Arabidopsis thaliana: one gene and its partners. The protein of the gene in region 2 purifies or fractionates together with the protein of the main gene of each other region. This does not show direct contact. Each region holds a gene or a part of one and is shown on either strand. Other genes may lie near its edges.

What was found.
Region 1: the proteins of SMAP1 (region 2) and CSN5A purify together in Arabidopsis thaliana (affinity purification with mass spectrometry, with the first as the bait; one study listed by BioGRID). This does not show direct contact.
Region 3: the proteins of SMAP1 (region 2) and COP13 purify together in Arabidopsis thaliana (affinity purification with mass spectrometry, with the first as the bait; one study listed by BioGRID). This does not show direct contact.
Region 4: the proteins of SMAP1 (region 2) and GAPC2 purify together in Arabidopsis thaliana (affinity purification with mass spectrometry, with the first as the bait; one study listed by BioGRID). This does not show direct contact.

The regions. Positions count from the first base shown.
Region 1 is NC_003070.9:8,107,782-8,115,542, forward strand, and holds CSN5A (COP9 signalosome 5A), read right to left. Parts: upstream 4,281-7,761; 5' UTR 4,115-4,280; coding exon 3,725-4,114; intron 3,598-3,724; coding exon 3,316-3,597; intron 3,230-3,315; coding exon 3,082-3,229; intron 2,979-3,081; coding exon 2,893-2,978; intron 2,367-2,892; coding exon 2,289-2,366; coding exon of another isoform or gene 2,217-2,288; exon of another isoform or gene 2,191-2,216; coding exon 2,101-2,190; 3' UTR 1,793-2,100; downstream 1-1,792. Other genes in the region: AT1G22910 (RNA-binding (RRM/RBD/RNP motifs) family protein), read left to right, coding at 1-168. UniProt on the Arabidopsis thaliana protein: Probable protease subunit of the COP9 signalosome complex (CSN), a complex involved in various cellular and developmental processes such as photomorphogenesis and auxin and jasmonate responses.
Region 2 is NC_003075.7:7,860,846-7,867,373, reverse strand, and holds SMAP1 (small acidic protein 1), read right to left. Parts: upstream 2,981-6,528; 5' UTR 2,913-2,980; coding exon 2,724-2,912; 3' UTR 2,719-2,723; exon of another isoform or gene 2,450-2,718; intron 1,923-2,449; 3' UTR 1,665-1,922; downstream 1-1,664. Other genes in the region: AT4G13530 (uncharacterized protein), read right to left, coding at 1-566. UniProt on the Arabidopsis thaliana protein: Mediates responses to the synthetic auxin 2,4-dichlorophenoxyacetic acid (2,4-D). Not involved in the response to indole-3-acetic acid (IAA).
Region 3 is NC_003076.8:4,594,428-4,602,488, forward strand, and holds COP13 (Proteasome component (PCI) domain protein), read left to right. Parts: upstream 1-3,440; 5' UTR 3,441-3,542; coding exon 3,543-3,739; intron 3,740-3,921; coding exon 3,922-4,037; intron 4,038-4,137; coding exon 4,138-4,384; intron 4,385-4,520; coding exon 4,521-4,578; intron 4,579-4,665; coding exon 4,666-4,755; intron 4,756-4,955; coding exon 4,956-5,021; intron 5,022-5,174; coding exon 5,175-5,264; intron 5,265-5,352; coding exon 5,353-5,511; coding exon of another isoform or gene 5,512-5,559; exon of another isoform or gene 5,560-5,603; coding exon 5,604-5,725; intron 5,726-5,906; coding exon 5,907-5,979; intron 5,980-6,062; coding exon 6,063-6,134; 3' UTR 6,135-6,408; downstream 6,409-8,061. Other genes in the region: AT5G14230 (ankyrin), read left to right, coding at 1-1,348; AT5G14240 (Thioredoxin superfamily protein), read right to left, coding at 1,796-1,968, 2,161-2,366, 2,467-2,610, 2,894-3,141; AT5G14260 (Rubisco methyltransferase family protein), read left to right, coding at 6,712-7,077, 7,195-7,270, 7,432-7,637, 7,718-7,804, 7,905-7,997. UniProt on the Arabidopsis thaliana protein: Component of the COP9 signalosome complex (CSN), a complex involved in various cellular and developmental processes such as photomorphogenesis and auxin and jasmonate responses.
Region 4 is NC_003070.9:4,605,814-4,613,890, reverse strand, and holds GAPC2 (glyceraldehyde-3-phosphate dehydrogenase C2), read left to right. Parts: upstream 1-3,012; 5' UTR 3,013-3,396; coding exon 3,397-3,400; intron 3,401-3,493; coding exon 3,494-3,523; intron 3,524-3,614; coding exon 3,615-3,715; intron 3,716-3,915; coding exon 3,916-4,031; intron 4,032-4,122; coding exon 4,123-4,222; intron 4,223-4,308; coding exon 4,309-4,455; intron 4,456-4,555; coding exon 4,556-4,616; intron 4,617-4,701; coding exon 4,702-4,799; intron 4,800-4,885; coding exon 4,886-5,028; intron 5,029-5,116; coding exon 5,117-5,200; intron 5,201-5,293; coding exon 5,294-5,426; 3' UTR 5,427-5,814; downstream 5,815-8,077. Other genes in the region: GT-1 (Homeodomain-like superfamily protein), read left to right, coding at 2-136, 375-605, 693-892; ST4C (sulfotransferase 4C), read right to left, coding at 6,306-7,361; ST4B (sulfotransferase 4B), read right to left, coding at 8,025-8,077. UniProt on the Arabidopsis thaliana protein: Key enzyme in glycolysis that catalyzes the first step of the pathway by converting D-glyceraldehyde 3-phosphate (G3P) into 3-phospho-D-glyceroyl phosphate. Essential for the maintenance of cellular ATP levels and carbohydrate metabolism. Binds DNA in vitro.

The DNA of each region.
Region 1 (7,761 bases), on a different chromosome or scaffold from region 2:
TCTGCTCTAAAAGCTACCCCATTTTATGGAATTTGGAGGTGGCTTTTTAAGCAGATCCCAATGGGATCTCCTGTTTCAGATGGTGATCATGTCGTATTTGTCATCTCTCACCTTCTTGCAATTGCATCTTCTCGAGAGAATGGGTTTCTCTTTGAGAGATATTGCTAATGGAGCATCATCATCATCAATCACTCATGTGCCAATCTCAAGCTGATGCATGTATCAGCTTAATTAGTTTATGTTGTTTTAGCCTAAGGATGGCTAATCAACAAGACAAAGAAAATGTCTGTTAGGATAATGTAAAAAAAAAATCAAGCACCAAAACAATTTTCTGTTTGAAAGACTGAAAAAACGATTGCATAATTAAGCAAAATGATCAGCACAAAACCCTGCAAGCCTTTTTGTTGCATCAACATGTTTAGTATCTTAATTCTTAAAGACTTAGTCACTTAAGTCCTCAAGTCTCAGATTATGTTTCTTAAATAAAAATGCATTACTCAAATGTCTCTGTTTACTGTTACTAGTGGTTAAAAACTTTGGGGAGTAACATCTCATAACCTCCTAGAATATACTATGCAACACATACAACTTCATGCTTTTCAGTTTTTGAATCTAGTATGTTCATAAGGATACTGGAAATATTCATACTGAACACTGTACTCACATCTCCTCATGTTCTCATGTTTCCCAATGTATGCTTCTCAGTCCAGTTTGACACCTTCTAGGGCTGAAAACATTAAGACGTGGTTGTGTGCTAGAGTCAACATCTTGCGAGAAAACATGTTGTAGCCCATCCATGTCACCTCTCAAGTCTGTCCTCTCATTATCTTGTAAGAAAACACTAGTGGAAAGAAACTCCCTTAATGAAAGCTTAATTACATACAATCTGCTGCTCCCATCAAACCATTGAGGTTGATGAAAATCGAGTCTAAGACACTACCCCCAAACACTGCTTCATGCCTTCCTCAATTGTATCATTTTAAAAATGTCTTATATCATATATTTCCTGGTGTCAAGCATGATGATATAGATGGAGTAGAGGAGTAGAGATAAGATCCTTGTTCAGGGCAGAGTAACAGTTGTGTCTGTGCAAATTAACAACCTAAGCTTGTGTTAACCAAGAAGCTTGAAACATGGACTAGAGAATATCTAAAATCCAAATGCATTTCGAGAAAATGCTAAAAGAACAAAAGTAGTGAAACAAATCACAATATATCAAAACTAATCTCCAGAATAAATTTTCATAATATCTTCTTTGATCATTTGGATCTTCTAGATCCCCAGAAAAGATAGAATGGCTTAAGCTTCGAACTCTCGGACCTTCTTGTTCTACCCAACTATACATTAGACAAGTATTAGGCCGTAAATAGGCCCATTTAGGGATACGCGAAGGCCCAAAAAGTCTTTGACATCATCATGTGGTTTCTTATTCTTGTTTTCCAGTAATGCTGGTTAAGTGAGGATGTCATTATTGATTAAGCCCCACGCAGCTTCTATCAATTACTACTACCTTACTCTTAATCCTACTCAAGTAACTTCACACGTTATCTCTTCCTACCGACTGTTTTCTCGGCCTGATGTTCGTTTAGTAGTCAGTTTGTTCGAATGCAGAAATCTTAATCCGCTTTTAGTACCCTTAAATCGTGGTCTTGTTGTAATGACAATTTCGGTTTTAGAATAGAATTTGTTCGCTTTTAACAAAAGAAATGCTGTTCAAACATAAATGTGAAAAACAACATCCTGATGAATTTCATGTGATGAAGAACAGAAAGAAAAGAGGGCCTAGAATCATTGTTGCTTCAATCGTTGGAGAACATTTGTATGCTTGTGTCAATTTTTTGCACATGGTTCCGTAACAGGCACATGATTACTGTGACATCACGTGTGTATCTGGAATTTGGTTTTTAATACCACTAAATCAAGATAGTCAAACGCAAAAACATAATGATCGATTTATGTTAATGTCATTTAATAACCCAAAGATCTTTGTCTGAAGCAGATACTACACTAGAGATATAGGGAACAATGGGCATTGCCTCATAAACCGGGTCAAACCGATAGTCAATTTCCGCAGCCAAAAAACAAAAGAATAGACCAACTTCACGATGTAATCATGGGCTCTGGATCTGATGAGTCGTCAGCAGACTTCTTGGACTGACGAGCGGAATTGAACAAGATGTCTTTGATAACCTGCACATTGATGGATGAAAGACTTTTTAAGTCAATTTCATGGATCCATTAACCGCAAGGGGAAATAGGATCAGCATTGTCAGATTGTATTTACTCACCTGTGACATTAGTCCATGGACCTGCTCGACAGTTATCTTTGCACTATCCCGAGTTATCTTCGCGAGTTGAGGCTCATCCTGAAAGTGGTCCACAACACATATACTTAGGTAATGTAATCTCCAAAACAAATGTTTTTATGTAAAGAAGATTAAAACAATATCAAAATGAGTCACACAGCCAGAGATAACAGAACTCTAGGAAGCAGACATAGACTATTGGCAACAACTCGTTGACAAATTGATACATCAAAGTCTCCCTGTTTTACTAGTTCAAACTTTAATAGCTCTGTATATTTTTGACTAAACATACACTCAATTGTGAAATTTCAAACCCAGAAAAGGTAAAACATAGTGTTTTGCAGGTAGAGTTTCTATTAGTCAATATCCAGTCAACATAATGCCTAAGAATAAAAAGTTCAAATTTAATCCAAGTTGCTAGATGTTGATAGTAGCAGTTAATTAGCCAAATGAAAAGTTTCTACACAGGAACAAGCTTGAAAAGTGGCAAGTGTATGAGCTCAAGATCATGGTCCAGTATCTCAGACAGTCAATAAACATTGAGAACATAACAAATAATTTTGCTAAAGCAACCATTTAGACAAACCTCTTTCCTCCTTTGGTGACCGGCTGGCGCAATTCCTCCATACCGGGAGTTAGCGAGCTGACTCTCCGCTTGCTCGAGCTTCTCAGCTTCATCATGTAAACAATTAAATGGTAAGAAAAGAGGATATATCAAACTACGACCTGGATGAAAAGTAAATTAACTTGCTCTTTCATATATACAAGAATTTACCCAAGTCTGATATTTGCCCGGCAACATAGTCTCCATTGCCCAACAGTGGGGAAGAAGAAAGAGTGTTCACCCAGTACTTGTTCCAAAGGAGATCCAGAAGGTGACTATCGAGAGATGACTTGAAATAAGTGATGTCCAATGAGTAGTACTGCCACATACAAAAAAAATGAATCATAAGATCGATGATTAAAACCCTCCCAAGTTTTAAAATCGATAAATAAGAATTATACATACCTGTTTGCAATGTACACCAAAGTCCTCAATCTTGTTAAGAGGGATAGTCTGATACTCAGAAACATGATCATCCGAGATCTTATGTCCCTCTGGATATGTTCTGAATGCCCCAATCTCAACCTTACCAGCCGAAACAGTCCTTGTTGGATCAATAACAACAGCTAAGAATGGCTCCTGATACTGTTGGTTAAGCATCTGTGTCGAAACATCAATACCCGAGAGCCAACATCCATACCCAGGGTGAGAGTGATACCATCCAACAACGTTCTCCAACCTCCCAGCCTATAGTTCAAAGTTACAGTCATAACCAATCAATCAAACACTCGCAAAATCTTGCATAAAGGATCCAAGTAGCAACTAGCTAATTAAACAAGGAGCTACAGCGAGAGATGAATAAGAGATATCTTACCAGCTTGCTGGTCTGAGAGTATTCAACCATATACTCATAGGCATCAGACTGAGCATTAACCCTAGTCTCAGTACCTTCAACAGGCAAAGCAAAAGCATCCATAACGATGATTGTATCACCCTCGGTTTTACCCTGCATAAGACCCATGATCTCGATTGTGCCACCGGAGCGAGCGTGAACCACCATCTTGAGAAGAGCAAGGGCTGAGATGTGAACGCGCTTGAAGTAGTTAGGATCGGAGGCCCATGGCTTCTCCTGCTGGATTTTGGCTTGTGAAGCGTCGTCGTAGTGGAATATACTGTCGGAGGCTGAATCGGTTGGTTCCACTGGGAGAATGTTGTTCTCTAGCTCCCATGTCTTCCTCGCGATGGCTGACGAGGAACCTTCCATTGAAATCGACTTCGAAGAGTAGAATAAATCTAGGGTTTTGCTTAATCGCGAGAATTGATTTGAGGGTTTGAGTCAGAAAGAAAGAAGAAGGCAAACAAATAGAGAGAGATCTTTGGGTTCTTGGGTTAAACCGGTTTGCGAGAACAAAACTCAAAATGGATTTACTTAATATGGGATTTGGGGACTAATGCTAATCCAAAACATTAACCATATAAAATTTTTATGGAAATTTAATATTGTACATTTTTTATTAAATATTTTTCCCTTTTTATTTTTAGTTTGTTTAACTTTTATAGAAATCAATGTTGGCAAATCAAAGGATAAATTCCAGTCATTGTATCAACCAATTGGTATAGAAATCAATGTTGGCAACACATAGATTTGGCATACAATATCTTAAATCACAAAGCGTAAAAGAAGAGTAATGCATCTCATGCATATTTCTTGAGATATCCACACATGCATAATTTCACCAATGTAGTAAGCTTATTTTGATAGCATGTTCAACTTATATATTGTGTGAATTATGCTTGACTTTATGGCATAGACGTTGATCTTTAGCTATAAAGTCAAGCTTTTGTCTTCTCATTCTATCATCGATCAAAGCATCTAAATCACTTTCCTCTCTTTTCTTCTCTTGTTTGTGTCAGAACTCAGAGAGTATAACATAAGGTTAGCTTTCGATCAGTTTTTTATTTTGAGTGTTGCGAATCAAAAGAAAAATTAGTTTTAGCATTAGACCTAAATATTTGTACAAGGACACAGTGTAATATTTGTAAAGCAATTAACATAGAACAAATAATGAAACACAACAATACTATAAAGATGTTTTGAGTTAAGGAGAGAGATCATCAAAGTGCTTGCTTAAATTTCTACCGTGTTGTTGTGTTTCATTACTTGCTTAAATGCTTAATGATAACTGCTTTAAAAATATTAGATTGTCTTCATGTACCAACATTCAGGTCCTACATCCAAAATATTATACAAGACAAAGAATTCACTACAATATAAATACGCTAAAATTTAAGAGCAGCCTCAATTATATGCATATACTAAGATTATGGCCGCCCCTGCTATGCTGATACAAAATAAATGCCAAATTACATCATATATCAAAATATTTTGGCAAAATAAAACATAATTGCCTTTAGTTGGATTTTGAAAAAAAAAATGGAAGATCTTCTGAGTTTGTGAGAAAGAAGAGCAATAAAGAAGAAGTTAATGCATCTGTTTGACTGTTACAATTACTTATAAAAAAAAAAGTGGAAGAAAGTTTAGAGGAGAGGATACATTTTGAGATCATGGGGAAGGAGTGGTTGCTAACAAAGTGGTAATAGAATTAGATTACGTGAAAGTATAAAAGTAAAATTTGAAAGTTTTGTGACATGTGGTAAATGTTGCTGTTTTTGAAAGTGTTGTCCCATTTGAAAGTTTTGTCACATTCGGTAAAATTTGAAAGTTTTGTTACATGCAGTTTTGAAAGTTTTGTCACATTCGGTAAAATTTGAAAGTTTTGTTACATGCAGTTTTTGTTAAAATGACGGTTAATTTAGAGGGGGGTGGGAGGGGGAGGGTAAGTAGTTATATGATTTTGATGATTTTGTAGAAGTGTATTCAATCTAGTATTTTAAGTGATTTGTGTAAAATTTATCAATCATGGATTTTAAAAACTCTATTAAAATCAAGTGTTATTGAACTAACGATTTTAAAATTTACTTTTAAATCAACTGTTATTGAAAACAAATCTCATGATTGTAGATGGAATTTGAAAAGATTGTACAATTAATCACATCAACTTTCTTAAAATTATAGAAATCTTTTCAAATTCTATCTAAAACCATGAGATTTGAATTTGTGTATTTGTAACTAAAGAAGTTTTCTCAAATCTTTCAAGATGAATAAGAATCAACTCCACAAACTGTTTTCAATAACAATTGATTTTAAAGTTAATTTTTAAATTATTAGTTTAATAACATTGGATTTCATTAAAGTTTTTAAAATCTATAATTAAATAACATAAAGTTTGTAAATTTTACACAAATAATTTAAACTACTAGATTAAATACACATCCTTTAGTATATATAGATTTGAGAAAGTGGATAACATTTTTTTTGTTGATGTCTAGCTTGAAACAATTCATACGCCCTCAGTTTCTATATCTTTATAAACTTGGTACAATTGATGACAAAAGTCCACAAAATAAGGGGTCATTGGAATTAAAGCGTTACAATCTTTATACCACGTGGTTGCAATATAAGGGTGACCAAGGTATTACTCAAAGGCTCAAAACTCGAATCTTTGAATAGTGACAAGTGGAATAACCTTTAAAGCCAAGTTGCTAAATATTTTTTCTTCCTTCTTCGATAAGTATTTAAATTTTTGTTATGTTCTCGTCCATAAATTGAGTGAATGATATTAGATAAGAGGTCCAAATCATGTATAAAATTTTAGAAAGCATTTAATCTCTCTCTTACATACCTATCAGAAATCGAATATGACCACTTTACTTCTTTTTTTCGTCGACCTTGACGATAAACGATTTATGACTACCTCTTTATCTTAATGATCTCAAACTCGCTTTAGGTCTTTCAACAATTATATGGCGTATCTTACTCATTTATAATGCAACAAATGTCAATTAAAAATCAACTTCAAATTACTATGGAATATCTCAAGGAAACTTATTGTAGAAATTTGGTGGAACTAGTAATCAAACTTGTTCATATAAATGCATTTGGCCTTTTGGGTTCGTTGTTGGTCTAGAGTTTAACGGTTTAGAGATTGTTTTAAGATTTTATTTCCCATGTACAATGAAAGTCTAATACAAATAAGTACTATAAACTAAGCGTTATGATCAGTAGATTATAATTTATATCCTACTATATTATTTGGGAAGTACATTTTAAATGTAACCTTAATTTTTGTAAGTAATTACATAGGTATGCCATTAGAAATAAAATTTTAAAGAGTAAATTAATTTATCTCTTTAAGGATTAAAAAGTCAAATACTAATTTAATTAATTAAATTTAATTAAAAAATGAAATATATTATTAATTTCCAAAAATAATAACCAATCAAAATCAACATATAAGATTTGATATCTAAATTTTAATTAATTTAATTTAATTAGAAAAACAAAATACATTATTAATTTCCAAAAAGTAACCAGTTAAAATCAACAAATTATGTTTGATATCTAAATTATCATATTAATTTTTTATTAATTATTATAGTTCACTTCTCATCGTTATATGATTCTATTTTTGCGGAAAAATAATATCATCATTATAAAAAAATAATTAGAGTTTTTTTGCATATGCCATAATTTGAATTTTTAAAAACAAATATAAACTGTTCAATACATGAAAAAATATTATAAGGGTAAAAAATAGATTTAAGAAAACTTTTTACTGAGTAACGGGTCATAATTTGAAATATTTATATTCAATTTCATACATATTATATTGAAAATTTATAATTTATATATACTACAATAATTAATAACATGTTAGATGTGATTCAATTTTTAATACAAGCTGGAAAATCCTAGAATTGACGGGTTTAGATCGATATTAATACAAGATAGTATACTACAGGTGAAACTCTTAAATTAACAATCAAACTACAAGTATATAATCTTAAACA
Region 2 (6,528 bases):
TTAATTTTCAACACACAATACTTCAACACCTCTATTGGAATTTTCCACCACACAAACCCTTTCTCTTCTCCTCCTCCACCACCAGATTTAACACCAGGATCAATAGAAACAGAGTTTCCTTCTCCTTCCACTGGATGAAGTAAAGATTCTTCCTTTCTCTCATCAGAGCTTATCAAATCCATGTCTTGAGCTATACTTTCACTATATTCAACAATACCCACTTCGTTTCTCTCTATACCCATCTCGTTATTCACATCATCATCCACTAACCTCTGATCATCAAGCCGATCACTGCTTGAATCAGACCATAACTCACTAAAATGCTTCGGACCATAAGGAACATCGGAGCTAGGTTCGATCCATCCTGGACTACCCGATTGAACAGACCCATCTTCATCGTTTGCCTCCAAACGAGACAAACCACTCTGGTTCTCAAGAGAGAAATGATCAAACCTAATCATACCTTGCGTGCCATCATCAATCTCCTCCAAGCTCCTCGAATTGTCATCTTCCGTGGTAGATCTCGAGCTCTGAAGTATTTCCCAGTCTTGAATCTCTCCTTCCATGTCAAAGTTAGGGGTTTTTTCGATCCAATTGAGGAAAAGAAACAAAAGGAGTCTTTGTGTTGGGGCGAAAACAGAACCGAAACGCTTCTTTCTCTGTGTGGAGATCACAGAAACACTAGGTCGTGGTGTTAACGTGGCGTGGTGTGATTGGATAGAGGATGAAGTCAAAAGAGTGGTTTCGTTGACGTGTGGGTTTATGATAACTATATGGATTGACAGTGTATGTTGTTACGGTGGGCCGAGAAGTAGAGGACCTTCAACCGCTTTTGCTAATCAGATATGCTCAACTTGAAACTGGAGGGAGAGGAAGCAAACACGTCATATAAATGCATTTTGTGAAGAACATCATAATTTATTGATACCGAACCAAATCCAATAGAATGTATTTTTACTTTTTACTATTTTACTTTTCGTTTTTTTACTTGTTTTTTCTCGTTCAAATTAGGTGATCGATGAATTGATAATTTAATTGTAATCCGCGTAATTCATATTCCTTCGGTTCTATTTTGTTGATTTTGAAGAAAAAAAAAATTGTTTCAAAAAAATTGATTTTTTAAAATTTTTATGTAATATTTATTAGTTTTTATTAATGAATTGTAAACTTTAATAAAAATAATTAAATTTTATTGGTTTAAAGTGATAGAAAATTGTAAAACACAAAATATAATATATTTAAAATCAACTTTAATATATTTACTTTTGTGTGTTTTTTTCTAACAATCAAACAAAAAAAACAGAGAAAATATTTATTTATTTTTGCTAAGAAACATAGGAAATATTTAATATTAATCGAAACCCAACTTTTTTTTCAATAAATGTTTAGCGTTAATATCATAGTTTAACAAACATTCTTTTTTATAACTCAAAATTTTAGAGTTTAGTCATTAAACCAAGATGTGGAGATTTTATAAAGGTTGAGGTAGGGAGGAGAAGAAAGTTAAGAGGCTCATGGATGGTGGCTTGCAGAGATTTGGGAGTTTTTGAGAGAGTTGATGACGTGGCAACTTGAGAACACATTTGTTAAAAGGCTGAGGTGGGTAGTGTGAGAGGCCTCAAATAACTTTTTTTTTATTAGTAAGAGATTCTGAAAAGAGGTTACCGATATCTAATGAATTGCTATCGAATGTTGAAATCTCATGAAATTTGGCTACACTACATACATACGACTATAAGGCAAGTAACAAAGACTGCTAGGGACTGACAAAGTGACAAGTGACATCTTTATGCTTAGCCTCCTTTTCCTTTCTACCATAGTTGAACATCAAGCACATTATTTCCATCTCAAAACCGGCCCAGAGAATATAATATGACACGATGCAACAACAGAACTTGGCCAGGGGAATTATACACCCCCTCCTACATACCACAAGACAGGAATTATACACCCCCTCCCACATACCACAATACAACACACATTCAGAGACCACGAGATGGTGAATTTACAAGAAATCAACATGGAACAAGATACCATATCCATATAAATCATTGACTGATGTATCTGAGTTACATGGAAGATACAAGAGACTATTTCTCTTAGGCCATTAAATTGTTGGTAGGAATATGTGCTTCAGTATGAGTTCCCTAGTTCACTTAATCACTAGTGGAAAGTTACAGCTTACATGAGGATTTCATCTCTCACCGGGAAGTTTCTCTAGACCCGGTGAGTCACATGAATATCAACACAATGAAACACATCAACACATATTTCAGAGACCTCAGATGTTGAAATTACAAGCAATCACAATGGAATATGGTACCAAATGAATCAATTAGTTTCTATCTTAAGCCAATATCAATAACTTTCACATTCTTCACATACAAATTCACAACATTCTTCACATACAAAGACTCTAATTTTCAGTTACTAAAATACCAAAACACTAAAGAAAATTAGGTTTCAATCTCCAAAAAACATCATCATCTCCAGAACCAAGGAAAAAAAAAACATTCTAAATTTGAGCCAAAAAAAACAATCAGACAAAGCACAATAACACACAAATCAAATGTTTTAGTAATCCAAATGAAGAAAAACATTGTTACATACCACAAACATAAAAATCCCAGAACTTATTACACACTTACTACATAGGTTTCTCCACAAATTACATCAAGTTTAGGAAAAAAAACTGAAATCTTAAAGAGGAAACTTAACCGGATTTAGTTGATATCGGTGTCATCGAAATCATCATCGAATTTGTTGAAGAAATCGGCGTCGGCGAGCTTGTTATCTGAGACAAGTCCTCCTTCGTTGAGTATCTCCATGGCTTCGAGGTCATCAACGTCCATGGCCATCGAAGAACCTGCATCATCCATCTCCGATAACATATCCAGCTGCATCGGCCTCATTTCTCTCTTCGTCTCTTCTTCGTTTTCTTCTTCGGGAAAGATCTAAAATGTTACAGTGACTGACTGTCGAAGTTTTGATGTTGAGGTCATTTTCTTTTAGGCCTAAATGTTGTGGCCCATCTTTATCTTCTTAGGCCCAATTGATGTGGCCCATGTTAATTTTAATCGTTCATTTTTCGTAGTGATTTTTAGCTGAATCTGTGGATTTTTTTTTTTTTTTTTAAGATACATCAGTTGAGGAATTGGCTGAAAAGTGGAACTAGAGGAATTTTTAGAATTTTTTTTTATTAATACCATGTTTATATCCTCTATTAAACAAATTTGATTAATGCAATTTTAAAAGCTACAAAAAAAAACTCAAATTATTTATATATAATTCTGTTGTCTGTAAAATTATAAAATAATATCAAGATAGAATAGTTTTCTAGTTGACGAAAAAAAATTAGGTTTCTAGTTAATAAAAATTAGAAAAAACTATCAAAGTTAAAATGTAAAATCAAAGTAATAGTTTTTTACTATTAAATTTTCATTAGTTAGGTCAAAATCAAATTTAGGATTGGGTGATTTAATCCCAGTTAATTCTGACTACAAAATGGTTAATTAATATATATAATTCAGTAGTTGATATGTTTCTGCATACATTGAAATAAATTAAACTATCACAATCGAAAGTCGTAAAATACGATTGATGGATGCGATTATTCTCTCTCGTTAATCACGAAGATAAATCTATTTGTTTCACTTTTACGGAAAGGGCAACGAGTTAATTTGTACATGGTTGTGTTAGTCATATTTAATATGGGCTGGTTTTACTCTTTTTGTTTGCCAATGAGCTAGTTTTCCATTTGTTACAAATTTTTTTTTTTTTTTTCTGCTAAGAATGTAAATATTTCATTGAAAAATGAAAAAGGTTTAGGAGATACAATTAAGTAAATCCTACAATTTTGGTCTCATGGCAAAAAAAGGATAAAAAACATGGAAGCAAAGAACAATCAGTCCATCGACATCAACAAAAGAAATTACTCTTTTGGAATCAATGAAGTGATAAACCGATTCTAAATATTAACTTAAAAGACACCTTAAGGAACAAGAAACGAGCTACCAAACGGCAAAGACCGAATCAACAAAAAACCTAGCGATGGAAGCCTTTCAACGGAAGTCCGAGAAAACTGAGCCGTCAACGGCACACCCTAAGGCGAACCTAAATATTATAATTACACACCCTAAAAGGCGAACCTAAATATTTTCCGGGAAAAAAAACATTGACGAATAAGATTAATAGAGCAGTAGCACACAATATCTTTAGAGGGATCCCATCTTTTGATTAAGATATTCGATAGCATGTTTACAAATAAAAGTAATGTTTTTATAATGTCTCTCCAAATATGTGGTCTTCTCGTGATTAATTCTATGAAACTATTAAGTTCATGGGTAGGTAGGGTTGCTTCAAAGTAAATGACGTTCGTGGTTACTTTTTGAAAGTAATTAATGTATGTGGGATCATTTTCTGGTACCTTAGTATCTTTATGAGGACATGTATGATTCACCGAAGAAATTTAAATAACTTCTCCCATTTTTTCACCTTTTCACTAAAGAGTAAAGAGTGATATACTTTGATTCGTTCTTGTATATAATAAAGTTTGAAACAGTTCTAATCGAAAAAAAAAAATCTTCAATCAAATAGTTAGAATCTATGACGAAGTCGGACTCTAGAATAAAATTATTTAGAATCTATAGGTCAGCCAAGTTTTTTTTTAGTTTGAAGGTGAAAATGGAATTGTTTTCACATTAATCATTGGAATATTGGAAGCATATGATACATTGAATATATTTATTCGAACAAAAAGTCAAATCAACAAGGAAAAATCAAAGTCGTGAAAGTCTTACGGTTTTGTTTCTAGCTGTACGGTAACGTATAGTTATTAATTATAGCCACTAATATTGACTATGCCATTTTAGTATCATTATTGTTTTGCGCAACTTCTTTTCAACTTCAGAATCTGTAGCAACAATAAATGAATTATGAATATTACAGTTGGAGTGAGTCTTTCTAGATGGAGTATTGTTTTATCTTTGCATATAATAGTGTTATGTTATGTTCTTACACAAATTTGAACATGCGGAACAATTTTGCATCTAGATTCTTTATTTAGGTATTGATAAAGAGATACAAAGGTCCAAATTGCACTTTTAGAGACGTCAAAAACTTGGTAAAATCTCTTCTTTCTGACTTCTAAAATACCAAAATTACCCATAAGAACTCATGTATGTACGGAATTACCATTTATGATACTGACAACGATATCACGGGCTCCAACGAAATTGTGATCTCTTTTGTGCGAATCTTATCTTTCTTATTAGTAAAATATTAGGATACACGTCGAATCTTGCGGTGTGGCAACGTGGTACGTATCTCCAAAGTTGTTCGTTCGGTTATCTAAATAATGTTGAATCAAATAAACATTGCATGTAATGACAAGAAGATTCCTGTTCGGTTGGTTCAAAGTTTGTAAAACGCCAAGTTCTGCTGCAACTTTCCAGCATTGAAAATTCCAATAATATATGACAACACAGAATTATTTCTATAAATCATTATAAAATTTTCGTGAAGACATGTTAGGGAAATACGGAGAAAGAGGGGGTGGTTGAGGCTCACACATGAACCAAGCCGTTGTCATCTCGATTATTTTCTTCCGAGTAGATAATGATTATCAATTTAGATTAAATTTTTTTAAGAAATGAAAAGTGAGCATTTTAAATTTTTTTATCTTTGATTTGTTAATGATGATGAATTGTAAAATTTAAGAATAATTACTATTGCTTTAGGGTAAAAAATTGTTAATCACAAAAAGTGATGCATTTATAATCAGATTTTTGTAATTTTGTTTTATTATGTGAAAACTGAAAAGTTTAATACGATTAGACTAATTACAAACAGATATATTACTTTCTTTTTTTAGTTTGACAAGTTTTTAGTTTGTTGTTGTATAAGTAATATGGTCACACTAGCTAATTTTTTTTTTTCGTCGATCACACATTCACACTAGCTAATTAAACAGTTACATGACTCACCTATAGCAAAGTACATGTAGCCTGTTAAATGATTAGTATAAGTTAAGTTTATAAAACAAGTGACTCGCCTGTCGCCAAAAGTTCAAAAACATATTTAACCCAAACGTGTAATGATAATCATAACCTAGTAATACTAAAGAAAATGTTACAATTAGAAAAAATATTAAAATGGTCAAGACTATTTAATTATTTAACGTTCAAATGTTTGGAATTATTTATTAATTATTTCATCTGTTGAGTATATTCATTGAGAATAGAAGCAACAAATATTAAATTCTAAAAAATAATAAAGTAAGATACACAGAATAAAATTTAGGAAAGCAATAAATAACCGAGTAGAAATCATAAAGCAATTGAAACTGCAAAATCAAAACAGTCAAATATATTCTTCAAAATGTTGAAATGTGTGTACCTAATTATGTAAAATTTCCATGCAATTTGTTTCCGAGTACCGGAGCCATCTGGTCAACTTTTTCATTTAGTGTGTATCTATCAAATCAAAGTGCTGGCCATTAAGTTCCTTAAAACTTGTAAAAGAGATTGA
Region 3 (8,061 bases), on a different chromosome or scaffold from region 2:
CGGTCGGACTCTTCTACACCATGCTGTCCTCTGTGGCAACAAGGCAGCCGTCAGTGTCCTCCTTGACTGTGGCGCCGATCCAGAAGCTCCTATCAAAACTTCACGAGGCATTGAACTCAGACCGATTCATATTGCTGCACGTGACGGATCAGTGGAGATCATACAACAACTCGTTGGCTTTGGCTGCGATATAAACTCGAAGAATGATGTAGGGAACACAGCCCTGTTGATCTCAATAAAACACAAACATCCAGAGTGCGTCAAGGTTCTCGCCCTTGATGGTGCTGATTTCGGTTTAGTGAACAAGTTTGGTCATTCTGCTGTTTCGATCGCTGAGTCAAACAAGTGGTCTCTTGGATTAGAGCGAGTAATTCTTGAGCTGATCCGGTTCGGTGTTGTTCCACATTCAAGCAACGCTTCAGTATTCTCGCCTTTGCTATATGGGGCTCAAGCAGGAGATGCTGAGGCGCTTAAAGCGCTTGTAAAAGCTCAAGACATCTACCTAGACTATCAAGATGAGGAAGGCTTTTCGGCTGCAATGCTAGCGGCCATGAATGGCCACGTTGAAGCATTTAGAGTCTTAGTCTACGCAGGCGCAGACGTGAAGCTGTATAACAACTCTGGCGACACGGTAGTCTCTCTGTCTGAACAGAACGGTAACCGTGACGTGATAGAGAAGGTGATGCTCGAGTTTGCTCTCGAGAAGGACAGCAGAAACATGGCAGGCGGGTTTTATGCTTTACACTGTGCTGCACGGCGTGGAGACGTCAAAGCAGTGAAGCTTTTGAGTGGAAAAGGATACAGTCTAGACATCCCGGATGGAGATGGCTACACTCCGCTCATGCTTGCAGCCAGAGAGGGCCATGGACATATGTGTGAATACCTAATCTCCTGTGGCGCAAACTGCAATGCTAAGAACGGAAGAGGGGAAAAGCTGCTGGATCTCGCGACTGGTGATGCGGAGAAGGTGATCCGTAATGAGTTGTCTCGGAGGTTTGTGATAGAAGGAAGCAGTGTGATGAAACACACCAAGGGAGGGAAAGGAAAGAAGCATGGGAAAGGATTGAGAATGTTGGAATCAAGTGGAGTACTAAGTTGGGGAAAGTCACGGAAGAGGACTGTGGTGTGCAAGGAAGTAGAGATCGGGATGAGCCAGCGGTTCAGGAAGAACCGTAAGGGGAAAGGCGATGGAGCGGAGGAGGAAGGGATTTTCCGGGTAGTGACTACGGAAAACAAGGAGGTTCATTTTGTGTGTGAAGGTGGGTTGGTGTGTGCAGAGATGTGGGTGAGGGGAATACGACTTGTGACCAGAGAGACAATTTGTGGAAGAACTCAGACTCAGAATTAGTGTTGTTTATGTATGTATATAAAGAAGTTTTGAGAAAGGGAGCTTCATTTTGAAGGTAGTGTGCTTCTATTGTGTTGGGGATGTTTATAGTTCTTGGGTTTGGTATCTGCAGTATATTTGTGAACTGTGAAGTAGTTCGAGTTGCACATGAATGAAAACTAAAACATCTCAGTTGATTTGAGATTCTCCAAATTTGATTATTACTTTGTCCAAAACAAAGACTATTCTAAACTTACATGGATTCACAGGCTTAGATCCAGCACTAAAATTCGGCATGTGATACCTGGATATCAAAAAACAACATGAAGTTCCTGTCTCTTTCAAAAGAACAAAAGTTACAAAATGTTTAAAAAACATTACATCACACAAGAAGTCAGCACTTTTGTTTACCAGTCACCAACTCAACAAGCAATAACCAACAGAGATAAACAGAGAAGCTTTGAAGTTCTAATCACTATTGTAACCACCATCATCGTTATCCTTATCTTCGTGGTCCTTCACCACTCGTTCTATGAACTGTCTTCGAACTCCAGCCATCACAGCTTCCCTCGAGGAGTCATCGTCTCCTCCTTTGCCATCGTTAAGAACTGGCTCTGATTGACACAGAAGTAAGGCTACACCTGAAAAACCAAATCAGTTGCAAGTATGTTAGACATGTGCCTAAGACCAATCTGCTCAAAGCATGATACAATCGCCAATGTGGTCACATCAGGTCTCAGATCAGACAAAGGCTAGAGATGAGACATGACATAATCATCAAACACAAATAAGCACAGATTACATCAGACAAACAAGGGTTCATTCAAACTTACTCTCTGGGGTGCACCTACGGCCAAAGCTCTTTAAGCCTACATGAGTTCCTTTGATGGCGCCATGGTGGTACACCAGCAAGGTAGGAAGATTGCAATCAGGGTAGTTCGGAATACAATCAGTAGATATTATCTTAACGAACTTTGTTGCTGGGTATCTACTACCCAATTCGTCTAGACAACCCAATAGCAAACTACATTCTGCAACACTATCAGAGAACAACAAGAAATAAACATGAGTTAATAGTGTTTCAAGCATGTAGTAAAGAATGGCTCAACAAGAGTTCACGAATACTTGAAAAAACATACCCATCTTTATAGAGACATACAACAACCCAATCTTCAGCAGAAGCTTGCGTAACCTCCCTCACGAAATCAGAGCCCGAGATGGGAGTCACTGTTCCATATCTTTTAACTTTAGCAGCCTCTCTTAGCTCAGACAACCTCTTCTTCCTATGAAAGCATCAAAACACATTAGTGCCTGTGAATCATGAAGTGTGTTGCACAATTATGTTTAGCCTATTCATCAACATCTCAAATAAGATACTACCCTCAATTGCATTCATATCCAAAACACAAACGAATCGAGAAAAACCAGAGCTTGATAATTGCATTCCCTAGCTACATGGCAACAGATCCGAGAAAATTGAATTCACAATCCACCAAGGCAAGGATTCTCCAGGGAAAGTTAAGATTGTAAATACAAAAATCAGAATGTTCGATTCGATCTACGAACCTGTATTCTTCGAGAAAGCGATCATCGTCGAGATCTTTGTCGTCCTCAAGATCCTCAAGCTCCTCCTCTGTCTTCTTATCAAACCATGCCTGATCCTTAGGAGCTGAAGACTCGTCTTCCGCCGGAGTATACGCCGGAGGTTTGAAAGCCGGAGCCTTCTCCGGTAGATTCCCCAATTTCCGCTGGATATCATCCCATTGAGTTGACGCTCCTTCAATGTCCTTATACACGAAATGATAATCCGCCATCAAAGTATAACCACCTACGAAGCTTCAAAGAGAACCTTTGAATCTGAGAGGAGAAAAAGCAGATTGCTTTGACACTCTGTGATCGCAATCTCGTTCTTTCTCTGGAAAGACGAATGATAAAAGGCCATCCCCGAAATTGGTCTGGCTAAACCGACAATTACCATCTGGTACATTTCGAACCGGGAATATTTGGTTTAAAAGCCGGTTAGATATTGGTTTATTATTCTAGAGTAATGTATTAGACTCTTAACCGTTCGGAGGGTTCGTATATATATTATGAGAGCATGTATTTTTATGGAGAAGATCCAGAGATAATTAAACAAACAGTTTAGCAAAAGATTTTGAGAGGGAGAAAAAGGGCGATCGATTAGGGTTTTTGTGTTTTCGTCTTAGTATCGAAGATGATCGGAGCTGTGAACTCGGTGGAGGCTGTGATAACGTCAATCCAAGGTTTATCGGGGAGTCCAGAGGATTTATCTGCACTTCACGATCTTTTGAGAGGAGCTCAAGACTCGCTCCGAGCCGAACCAGGTGTTAATTTCTCTACTCTTGACCAGCTCGACGCCTCGAAGCACTCTCTCGGTTACCTGTATTTCCTGTGAGTTTTAACCTATTGGTAGATTAGGTTTTTGTTACTAGTTTGTGTATACTTTGAGGCTGATTGATGATTTTGGTTATTGGAACTTGATGTGTGTGATTAGGTCGAAGTTTAACAAGGAGAATTGTCTATGTTATTCGATTTCTGATCTTTGAGTTTTTTGTATGGTTTGATTGTTACAGTGAGGTTCTTACCTGTGGTCCAGTGTCGAAGGAGAAAGCTGCTTATGAGATACCGATAATTGCACGGTTCATCAATTCTTGTGATGCTGGGCAGATTCGTTTGGCGAGCTATAAATGTAATTTACTGACACTTAATGAGAGCTTATCTTGTCTTAATGTGTTTTCTTTTCTTTTTTCTTTGGGGAGATGGATGATGTTATTATATTGATTTTGCAGTTGTATCTCTTTGTAAGATATTGAAAGACCATGTTATAGCACTGGGAGATCCGTTGCGAGGAGTAGGGCCACTGTTAAACGCTGTTCAGAAGCTTCAGGTCTCCTCCAAGCGTTTGACTGCATTGCATCCAGATGTTCTTCAACTCTGTTTGCAGGCGAAATCGTACAAATCTGGTTTCTCCATTCTTAGTGATGATATCGTGGAGATTGACCAGCCAAGAGACTTTTTTCTCTATAGCTATTATGGGTAAGCAATTTTTCCTCATTGCTATCTGTTTTTTTCCTTTGATCAATAGATGTGTAAACACATTAAATCCATCCCTGTTGGGTTTGTTTTATAGTATTTTCTTATTCTGGTCCTTGATTACCTGGACTTTTGATAGGGGAATGATTTGTATTGGACTGAAGAGATTTCAGAAAGCATTAGAGCTTCTTTACAATGTAAGGCATTTTTATTTTTTCTTACGTGCTTTTTATACATTAAGGACTTTCGTTTTAGTTTTAACTCAACCTAAGTACTTGTATCAGGTTGTGACTGCTCCTATGCATCAAGTCAATGCCATAGCTCTTGAGGCGTACAAAAAGTACATATTGGTGTCTCTCATTCACAATGGGCAGGTAAGGCTGTGTTCTTTATATTTTACTTTCTTTGTTTATCTAGTTTTCGGTCATGGGAGCATATTGCACGAGTCTGAATCAACTGTATGTTTTTGAGAAATGTTGGTTTCACAATTACATCCTGTGTCTGATTTTAATTTCAAGCATTGGTTAATCTTATGATGTTTTTCTTATAATCTTGTTTGATTTTACTTGTGCAGTTTACTAACACTCTCCCCAAGTGTGCTTCTACAGCAGCACAGAGGAGCTTCAAGAACTATACCGGAGTAAGTTTGAACCCGATCATTAGTTGTATTTTTCATGTTTGAATGGAGTCTGGTCCCTTTTTCACTTCAGTCCAAAGATTTCAGTTGTTTTGTACTCCATACCAGCTAAATCTATTTTCAGGCTTATGATTTTATCGTTCACCCTTTTCTCAGCCTTACATTGAACTGGGTAATTGTTACAACGACGGGAAGATTGGTGAACTAGAGGCATTGGTTGTGGCCAGGAATGCAGAATTTGAAGAGGTAAATTGCCTCTAAACATTTACCATAGTTTCTGTACCAATATTAAATATTCATCCCCTTCCATAACTTGGGCGAAATGCTCTTTCAGGATAAGAACCTTGGATTAGTTAAGCAAGCAGTGTCATCCCTTTACAAGCGTAACATTCTGAGATTGACACAGAAGTACTTGACCCTGTCGCTTCAAGATATAGCCAACATGGTCCAACTTGGTAATGCTAAGGAGGCGGAAATGCATGTGCTTCAGATGGTATTGTGTCCCACACTTGATTTTTGGAAGCTAGCTTTATTAGTTTAACTGGTATGTTGGACAATATCATTTTTTTCTTTACAAACCTGCAGATCCAGGATGGTCAGATACATGCCCTTATCAACCAGAAAGACGGGATGGTCAGATTCTTGGAGGACCCTGAGCAGTACAAATCTAGTGAGATGATTGAGATCATGGATTCTGTTATACAAAGGTATGTCTACAGAACTAAGTGTTTTGATATGGTTTTTTTTTGGGAAACATTGCTTGAATGTTGAAACTCGTAATAAGGAGTGCATAATTAGCACTTGGAATCAAGTTGATATGGAGATGACTGTTTTGCCAAAGGAAAGTAGTAGCATCAAACAAGTTATGTGTTTTGATAAAAATTTCAGGACTATTGGTCTGTCGAAGAATCTCTTAGCCATGGATGAGAGCTTATCATGTGACCCTTTATACTTGGGAAAGGTAATTTAATACCATATTCCATTAGTCTTCTGTCCTGGAAACCCATGTTTCTCTGACTAAGCCGTTTGACTACTTTTTTTCAGGTAGGAAGGGAAAGACAAAGGTACGACTTTGGAGACGATTTCGATACTGTTCCTCAGAAGTTCTCCATGTAAACAGCGAAAGTCGAGAAGCACCAACAAAACTTGGCTCAAAGACAACCGTAGTGTGAATCTTGAGAATGTTACTTTTGATTTCTTTGTTCATTTTTGTTGGTTTAAAAAGTTTCATATTTTTGTCACAATTGCCAACAAGTAGAGAAGACCATTATGGACCCTCAAATCTTTTATTTCCCTTTTACTTAAAAAATTTTCCCCTTGCGCGTGTATCTCTCGTGCTAACTTACGCGAGCGTTTTATCATTTGCAAGGGTTAGAGAAGTCTCAACGGCGTCGTATCAAACTCGTTTTTAACTGCGTGTCGTTTGGGGAATCTGATAGACTCCTTGTTGTGGTGGGCTAGTTTCAGGCCCATTCTCGCTAAGCGCCACGTAGATTTTTATTTCTTTACTCATTTTTTATGTCGCATCTTCCCCATTTCGTTTTCAACCTGATTTCTCCATTTCCCTCTCTTATCCTCAATGAAAAAAATAATCTGAGAAAACGCAAAAGAAGAACGGAGCAAAATCCTCAGAATCGTCGCCGGAGAATCTTTACGTTTCGACATAATCGGAATTTTGGAATTGATAATTCCGATGGAAGGGGTTATCACATGTTTCCATACGAAATGCGTCTCTCTTCCAATTCGTTCTTTCCCACTTTCTAGGGTTTCTTCACTTCCTCGGTGGAGGAACAATAAATTGATCTCTTCATCGCGATCGGTTCATCTAAGAAGCTTGTGCGTTTCGAGCTCAGATACTTTAGTCGCGAGCGGTTCACCAAAGGAAGACGAGAGGCAGAGCAAAGTATCGAGCAAGAAGGAAGGAGATGACTCCGAGGATTTGAAGTTTTGGATGGATAAGAATGGGTTGCCACCTTGCAAGGTTATTCTCAAGGAGAGACCAGCTCATGATCAGAAGCATAAACCTATACATTATGTTGCTGCTAGTGAGGATCTTCAGGTGGTTGACTTAGCATTTCAACAGTTTTATTTGCTTATACACAGTTCCATAGGGTATTCCAAGTATCAATTTCCGGGTTTTGATGGTAAATTTTTCCTAATTACCTGTCTTTTACAGAAGGGTGATGTGGCGTTTTCAGTTCCTGATTCTCTGGTGGTTACTCTGGAAAGAGTTTTGGGAAACGAGACTATTGGTATGAGACATTCTCTATTATGTTTCCTATTCCATAAAGCTACTTCATCAGTTATGCACTATAATATTTGGATTAGACTTTGTGATTTCTCTTAGATAAGGGTGGGATTACGGGTGTTTTGATTCTTGTCTGAAGCCATATAAACTCTCTTTATCACACAGCTGAACTGTTGACGACGAACAAATTATCCGAACTGGCTTGTCTAGCTTTGTATTTGATGTATGAGAAGAAACAAGGAAAGAAATCAGTATGGTATCCCTATATAAGAGAACTTGATCGTCAAAGAGGAAGAGGTCAGTTAGATGCGGAATCCCCTTTGCTGTGGTCAGAGGCTGAGTTAGATTACCTAACTGGTAGTCCTACCAAGGTATTGCGTTAGTATATGCCGGACGTGTGATGAACTAGTATAGTGGGTTCTTAGTGGTTAACTTCTTTAACATGGTTCAGGCCGAAGTTCTTGAGAGGGCTGAAGGGATCAAAAGAGAATACAATGAGCTTGACACTGTCTGGTTCATGGCTGGATCTTTGTTTCAGGTGTTTGGCTACCTACGATTTCGGCTTCTTCTTGTCATTTTAATATATGGAATGCTAAACATCGGCCTCGGACTTACACCATTTTATTTGTGTTTTGCAGCAATACCCATTTGACATACCAACTGAAGCTTTTTCATTTGAGATTTTCAAACAGGCATTTGTTGCCATTCAGTCATGTGTGGTGCATTTACAAGTAATTTTCATTCTTTTGGGGTTTACTTTTCACAACTTGAATGTCTTTCTGTATTTGAAAGAAT
Region 4 (8,077 bases), on a different chromosome or scaffold from region 2:
GCTAATGGCAGGCCAGCCTTAAACCTTGAAAGGCGTCTTGATCATGATGGTCATCCTCTTGCAATCACTACAGCAGTTGATGCTGTTGCAGCAAATGGAGTTACTCCTTGGAATTGGAGAGAGACTCCTGGAAACGGCAAGTCCTCAGAAAAAGCTTATATAAACTTAAGCCTCAAAGTTTAATTTTCTATAAGGCTAAAGATATGTTTTTTGAACTGTATGTTTATGTTCCAAGCATGGTGTAATATGTGTAAGAATCCACGTTTTCTCATTTTGAGGTTGCTTCACAGCCTCTGCTCCTCTGCTTGATTTATTCGTTCGGTCTCTTTATAACTGAGTAGAGCTTTTCATTTGTTTCATGTTTATACAAGCAGGTGATGATAGTCATGGTCAGCCTTTTGGTGGTAGGGTCATAACAGTGAAATTTGGTGACTATACAAGAAGAATCGGTGTTGATGGTAGTGCAGAAGCAATCAAAGAGGTAATCAGATCTGCTTTTGGGTTAAGAACTCGAAGGGCTTTTTGGTTAGAAGATGAAGATCAGATTATTCGCTGTCTTGACCGAGACATGCCCTTAGGGAACTATCTACTCCGTCTGGATGATGGTAAGATTAAATTTGCCACTATTCGTATCTTTTGAACTGTGTGTGTGTTTTTTACTGAATTGTCAGTATGCAAAACCCATCTTGCAGGACTGGCCATTAGGGTTTGCCATTATGATGAATCCAACCAATTACCAGTCCATTCAGAAGAGAAAATCTTCTACACTGAAGAAGACTACCGCGAGTTTCTGGCTCGACAGGGATGGTCAAGCCTGCAAGTTGATGGTTTTAGGAACATAGAAAACATGGATGATCTTCAACCTGGTGCTGTGTATCGAGGTGTGAGATGAGGAAATGAGATCACAAAACTTCTTCTCCAATTCTATCAACAGTTATCTGATCAGAAAACAGTCCCCTGTAGATATGATCTCATTCTCTTTATACATTTCTTCTTTTTTTCATGTACTTGCTCAAATATGAAATATCATAACTGGCATTTACCGTACAGACCAAGAAGACCTCAAAATAGATTTTTGGTCTGTTACATTTGTAAGAACAGAACATAAGAGAAGTGAATAAATTGTTCACAATCAGACGAGCGAGTGTTTGTGTGTGGTATCAGAGTCATTCTTCATCCCTTTTATTGTTCTTGTATGAAATGAGTGTGTTCGACCTTGTCAATCTGCAAAGCCAGAGAAACTTTCTGAACTTATACTACTGAGAAAACACTATAATGATTTGATTAACAAACACTAGTATCAAAGAATGTAATTCAACCACTCTCTTGATCCAGGTGAACGGTACAGCCACATCGGTATCAGTAAATGCTCCCAACACAACAAACACACCTTATCCAACCGCCAAGCCGATTAATGTCTCTCTCTCTTACATGTTTCATGGAGACAAGGCAAGCAAGTTATGCTGGAAGCAACTTGTCTCATTATAGCTTGAATCTCCCTCGTGATCTCCTTATTACTTTTCTCCTTTGAGACAGCGTGAAAAGGAGGAAGACAGAATCAAGACAGCATAAACATCACAAACATACAAATGAAACTGAGTTAATTGAAATGTTTATGCATAAATAAACCAACTTCTAGATCTTAAATATCACGTAAGTGGAATAACATTGGTTATAAGCAGATCATCAGGATAAGATTCCAATAGTTAAAGTTTTGCGTCAATAATTGTTTTTGTCGAGAAGGTTTGCATCAATTATTGCATCTTTCTTTCTATCTTTTTTTTTCTTTCTCTTAGAATCGAATTTTAACATATACTTTGATAATGATATATTGTGGTTCTTTTCACTTCACGATTACTTTAGAACATTGTGAATAATGACACTTCAAAATAAAAGGGATAAGATCAGAAATAACATATGAAAATTCCACAAAATCACTACAAATAATTCAGATAATGAAAAAAATACATGTACGTTATGTTATAAAATTCTCAAATATGGTTTTCAGCAAAAATAAATTTGGTTTTTTACTACAAAGTACAAACCAAAGTAAATTGATTTTACAAAGAAAAACGAATTAGAAAATCGTTTTTAAATCATAGAACTTATTCAGTCGAAGAGAATGGCTGACACTTGACGGGTCAGTTATAACTTATAAGTGGACTCTTGGAAATGATCATGAGTTATAGAAAGATCACAAACTTCAATTTATGATATATTGTTGACCTCAGATAATATTTTAGCTATTTATTGGATGTATAAAGATCCATATGAATACCAAAAGAAGGAGTTTTATAACCATTCACCTAACAAAAATGAAATGGAAAAAGAAAAGAGAGCAAATAAGAGGAGGAGAAGAAGAAGACTTTTGGCAAAAGCCAAGAGTCATACCTATTAGTCTATTACATAAGGTGTGATGTTTTTTTTTGCTGTCACATTCCATCTGACCTACCAAAGCTCTCAAAGTGGAGCATCTATTGTGTCTTGGTATAGAGTCACGATTAGATAAATATACAACACCATATGTACTTGTGTCAAATTATAAATATTTGAAACAGTAAGCAACCAGTAATTCGATAAAGACGTCTACAAGCATCTACACATCTAAATTGATTAAAACAAAACACCTTTAAATATAGTGTTTATGAAGTCAAATCTTCACCTTGATTATTCTAAAACAATGGTTGGAGTAATGTTGCTGAATGTTGAGTGAGAATTGACATTTGAGAGTAACTTTCACTATAATGAACTGGATGATAAAGTTGATCCGATAATAATTGAATTTACCATGAATGGTATCACAAGATACATGTATAGAAGACAGTGGTGTTACTTGTTACGCAAAATTAAAAAATGAGCATACTATTGCAGTTACTTTGGATTTATTAAGGAAAATTATGGTTTGACAACAACAATAATACAAAATCTTATGAAAATTAAATAAAAAGAAAAACAAATTTGGCTATTGGCAAAGCTCATTGGCTGTCAAAAGGAATATATACAAAATCTGCTACGTTGCAGTCTTGCGTGCACCGGCCCAGCCCATAGGATTAGAGTATTAAACCTCGAATATTCCATCAGCCTGCGCGTGAATCCAAGCGCCATTAGTTTCCCCAAATCAGTTCTTAATCCTACCCATAAACGATGGGTAAAAATGGTAAATAAGAAAGAAAGTAAAGTACAATATAGTAATATTAATTAGTGAATCTAATCTATTAGCCTTTTTCCCAAGAAAAAATCTCAGCCACTCGATCATATTTTCAATTTTCATCATCACGTTCTTCTTCTCTTTTAAATAACCCTAAATCCTCACCAAACCCAAACCCTCACTCACTATTTTCACATTCTCTTCTCTCTCGATATCATCTAAATCTCTCTCGATCTCAATTTCGCAAAATGGGTAAGCTTCTCGCTCTTGTTGATCTGCGATTCTTCGATTTATTGTTCTTTCGTTGATACTTTTTGAATCTGATCGTAATTTTGGTTTGTGTAGCTGACAAGAAGATCAGAATCGGAATCAACGGTGAGTGTTTTTCTTATCGAATTCCATAAGTTTTTTGGTTAGGTTTAAGTGATTTGGATCTGTAGAAGCTGAGTTTTGAATCTTCGTGAAGGTTTCGGAAGAATCGGTCGTTTGGTTGCTAGAGTTGTTCTTCAGAGGGATGATGTTGAGCTCGTCGCTGTTAACGATCCTTTCATCACCACCGAGTACATGGTTCGTTTCTTCTTCTCTTCGATACTAGTTCGTATCTGGATTTGAGTTAATAGTTTTATCTGAATTTTTGTTAATATACATGATGGTGTGTGCTGTTTATCATATAGATCTGAGAACTTGCTTTGTTGTATTCTTCTTCTATGTTGATTCTCTGTAAATTCGTTTTGACTGATTGTGTATATGGTATCGATTTGTTGCAGACATACATGTTTAAGTATGACAGTGTTCACGGTCAGTGGAAGCACCATGAGCTTAAGGTGAAGGATGACAAAACTCTTCTCTTCGGTGAGAAGCCAGTCACTGTTTTCGGCATCAGGTACATAATCATGGATGATTTTATTATAGTGGTTCTCTGTTATGTTATTGAGAGTTGTGAAATTCTGATTTGTGGTGTTTTATTTTTGAAGGAACCCTGAGGACATCCCATGGGGTGAGGCTGGAGCTGACTTTGTTGTTGAGTCTACTGGTGTCTTCACTGACAAAGACAAGGCTGCTGCTCACTTGAAGGTTTGAACTTGGATCTTTTATATAATAGTCGAGAACTTGTTTATTTAAGATCTATATCATCATCATATTGTTTCATTGTTATTCAGGGTGGTGCTAAAAAGGTTGTCATCTCTGCCCCAAGCAAAGATGCGCCCATGTTCGTTGTTGGTGTCAACGAGCACGAGTACAAGTCTGACCTTGACATTGTTTCCAACGCTAGTTGCACCACTAACTGCCTTGCTCCTCTTGCCAAGGTATCTTTTTCTGTTTCAACCCATAAACTTGTGTAAATTGTTCTGAATTCTGAATTTTAAGTTGAATCATTTCTCTTACAGTTGCAATCTATTTGTGCAGGTTATTAATGACAGGTTTGGCATTGTTGAGGGACTCATGACCACTGTCCACTCTATCACTGGTACGTATTTATATTTGGTTTCATTGGGTTGATTCTTGAAAATATGTATATTTGACTCAATAGTAACTGTTGTTTTGGTGATCAGCTACTCAGAAGACAGTTGATGGTCCATCAATGAAGGACTGGAGAGGTGGAAGAGCTGCTTCCTTCAACATTATTCCTAGCAGCACTGGTGCCGCCAAGGTATCATTTCAGCCTCTTATTTGTTTTAATTGATTTTGATTGAGAAATTATGTTGAATCTGATTTTTGTATCATGGTTGTTGATAGGCTGTTGGGAAAGTGTTGCCATCCCTCAATGGAAAATTGACCGGAATGTCTTTCCGTGTTCCAACCGTTGATGTCTCAGTTGTTGATCTCACCGTTAGACTTGAGAAAGCTGCAACATACGACGAAATCAAGAAGGCCATCAAGTGAGAACCATCAAGGACCCTCAGTCCTAACCATATCATATTAGAATTTATTGGGTACTTACAAAAGATTTTGGTTAAAACTTTTCAGGGAGGAATCTGAAGGCAAAATGAAGGGAATTTTGGGATACACTGAGGATGATGTTGTGTCTACCGACTTTGTTGGTGACAACAGGTATAAAAAATATTGTCTGTAGAGTGATATACAGTTTTCTGATCTTATAAATGGCGAGAGCAAATAATTGAAATATTGGGTTTGTGTTTATAGGTCAAGCATTTTCGATGCCAAGGCTGGGATTGCATTGAGCGACAAGTTTGTGAAGTTGGTGTCATGGTACGACAACGAATGGGGTTACAGTTCTCGTGTCGTTGACCTTATCGTTCACATGTCAAAGGCCTAAGCTTACACCGGCGAGAGTTTGTGTGTGGTTGAGTTCGTACTGTTCTGAATAAAAAAAAGGAGAAAAGAAAACTCGAGTTGTTATGTTTTTTCACTGATTCCATGCGCAGTCATGAGAGTTTGTAGCTTTTGTCTTTTTGCTTTCTCTTAATGTTTCCCTGCTTTATTTACTGAAACCATTGGTTTGGTTTTTTATGTTAATTAAGTTTTTAGTTCATTACTTTCTCGTGCTAACTCAAACCCAACTGGCAACTGGAACATTGAACGTCCTCTTCTCGTATTTTTAATAGTCTATTTGTACTTGAGCTTCTCCACCAAAATGGTTCTTCCTAGTCATATAGCTCACATTAGGTCAATCATCTTCGATTGAAAGCAAAAGTTACTGAGACGGATTTATTGGTTGATAAGCATCGCCACATTGTTTTTTAACGAATCAGCCAAGTTTGTTGAAACGGAGGATCAAAAATTGGAATTTAGTATTTCCTTGCAATTGCGAAGATCCAATTTTTTGGTTGACATCATTGTAAAATGATTGATATTATAATTTTATTTGCATGCTAACTTTTAAAGTTAATAGGAAACTCGTATTTTCAATAGTGACATGTTATTGCATGTGATAATACGATTATTTTATTACTTTATTAGTCGTAAATGAAGAGTAACATGCCACTATTGAAATGGTACTCATGAGATCACACGCTAGTTATTAAAGGAACATAGAAGTAAAGAAGGTTTTTATTGCAACATCAAAGAGAACAAAAACCACACATCAGTTGTAATGATACATCAAAGTTATATATATGACAATGTAACTTTTATTATTAAATAACGCATTCAAGAACACTTTTTCTGCAGTTCTTCACAAAGCACACGCATAATTCTAGAATTTCAAACCGGAACCTTTGAGTTTCTCCTCGACGATCATATCGATTTTATTTACCATTTCAGAGGTCATATAACTCTTCCAGTCACCAACTTGTCCTTTACGGAAATAAGTCTTGTAATCTACTCCACCCAAGGATCCAGTTTTGTTGATCTCCAAACTGCTTAAATTACTTAGAGAGCAAAGTTCCAAGATCTTGTCTACAGTTCCGCTATCTTCCTCTTCCTTAGTGAATGGACAATCCAAGAACTCTGCAAGTCTCTTGACCTGAGTACGAGGCTCCGCTTTCAACTCCTCGTACCTCATGAAAAGAAAATGCTTAGGATCTTCCAAGCTGCCTCGCCAATAGCTCTGTGCATGGTCCCAAAAGGGACCGTGTAGGGTAACTCCGTTGCAGAATGACTCAAATATAGCCTTGAAAGAATAATTCTCCGCTCGAATGATCTTTTCATTTTGGCTAAAATCTCCCCATTCTACTCCCTTGTTGGCATTGAGGAAACACCAAAGTGACACCAACACGTCTTTCACGTTCCTGCACACGTACACTACCTTGCAAGGAGACTTCTTCAAGGGTAGTTTAAGCGCGTCCAAGGACATATGAGTTGAGAACAATCTCGGAGATGATGATGATGATGATGATGATAAGAACTTGGTCAAGTCCGGTTTTGAGCTGTTGAGATACAGATCTAGCTCGAGGTACGGTACTATCTCATGAGGGTTATGAGATAGCAGAGGATGATGATGATCTTCTAACGAGTGTTTTGATCGTTGAACGAGTGCAAATGTGAGTGCTTTGAGCCAAGTCGTGCCCGATTTGTAGAAAGAAGCAACAACTATATCGGTTTCTTGTGGCTGAAAACTCGAGTGTATATTGGGGATTGATTGGAGAACGTCTTCGTAGTACCAATATCCTTGGTACTTGAAAAGCTTGTTCCCAAGGTAATCTATCTCCCAAGGAAGTGAAGAGATCAAAATTTTGGTTTCTTCGCTTTGATTTTCTTCTTCTTCTTCTTCTTCTTCCCTCAAGTTCCTTAGAATATCTTTCTCATCCATTTTTTTTGGTTCTTGTTTTGTTAAGTGAACATTTTAGTTGATTTTAAAGTGCTAAACTTAAATGCAGCATTTTACTAATATAAAATTACGCTCCATTATTGACCTTATATACATAGAACAAAATAATGTTATAATCTTCGACTTTTTTCTAACAAATATTAACCAATCATGTCACTAAGAAATTAAAAAATACTAGTATATAGGAATCTAGTCCATTGTATATATCGTAAACATGGACACTTCACCAACGAACATGCATGGGGTCTTTTTATAAGGTTCTTTATACCGAAACCATTGTTTTGGTTTTTATGATAATTGAGTTAGTTTTGTGGCTTTTCCGTTCAACTAAAAGTCTCATTATGTCAACTGCTATTAAACCGGCGCACATGGCATGTTTTATGAAATTAAGGTCAATTGGACTCCAACTTTTCAATTATTAAAAAAAAAGAAAAATGATTGTTGTATGCCTTGGCGAAGAAGAAAAGCCGCTAGCTTTATTCATTATCAAACGAAACAAAAACAACAACACATCACTAAGAATCTTAAACTCTTAACCTTACATCAAAGTAACTTTTATTACATTGCATACAAGAAAAGAACAAACCAGCATTATTAGGTTTGAGATTAAACCTGTTCCCACACATATACATAGAGATATGAACTCTACAATTTCAAACCAGAGCCTTGAAGTTTCTCCTCAACAATCATGTCGATTT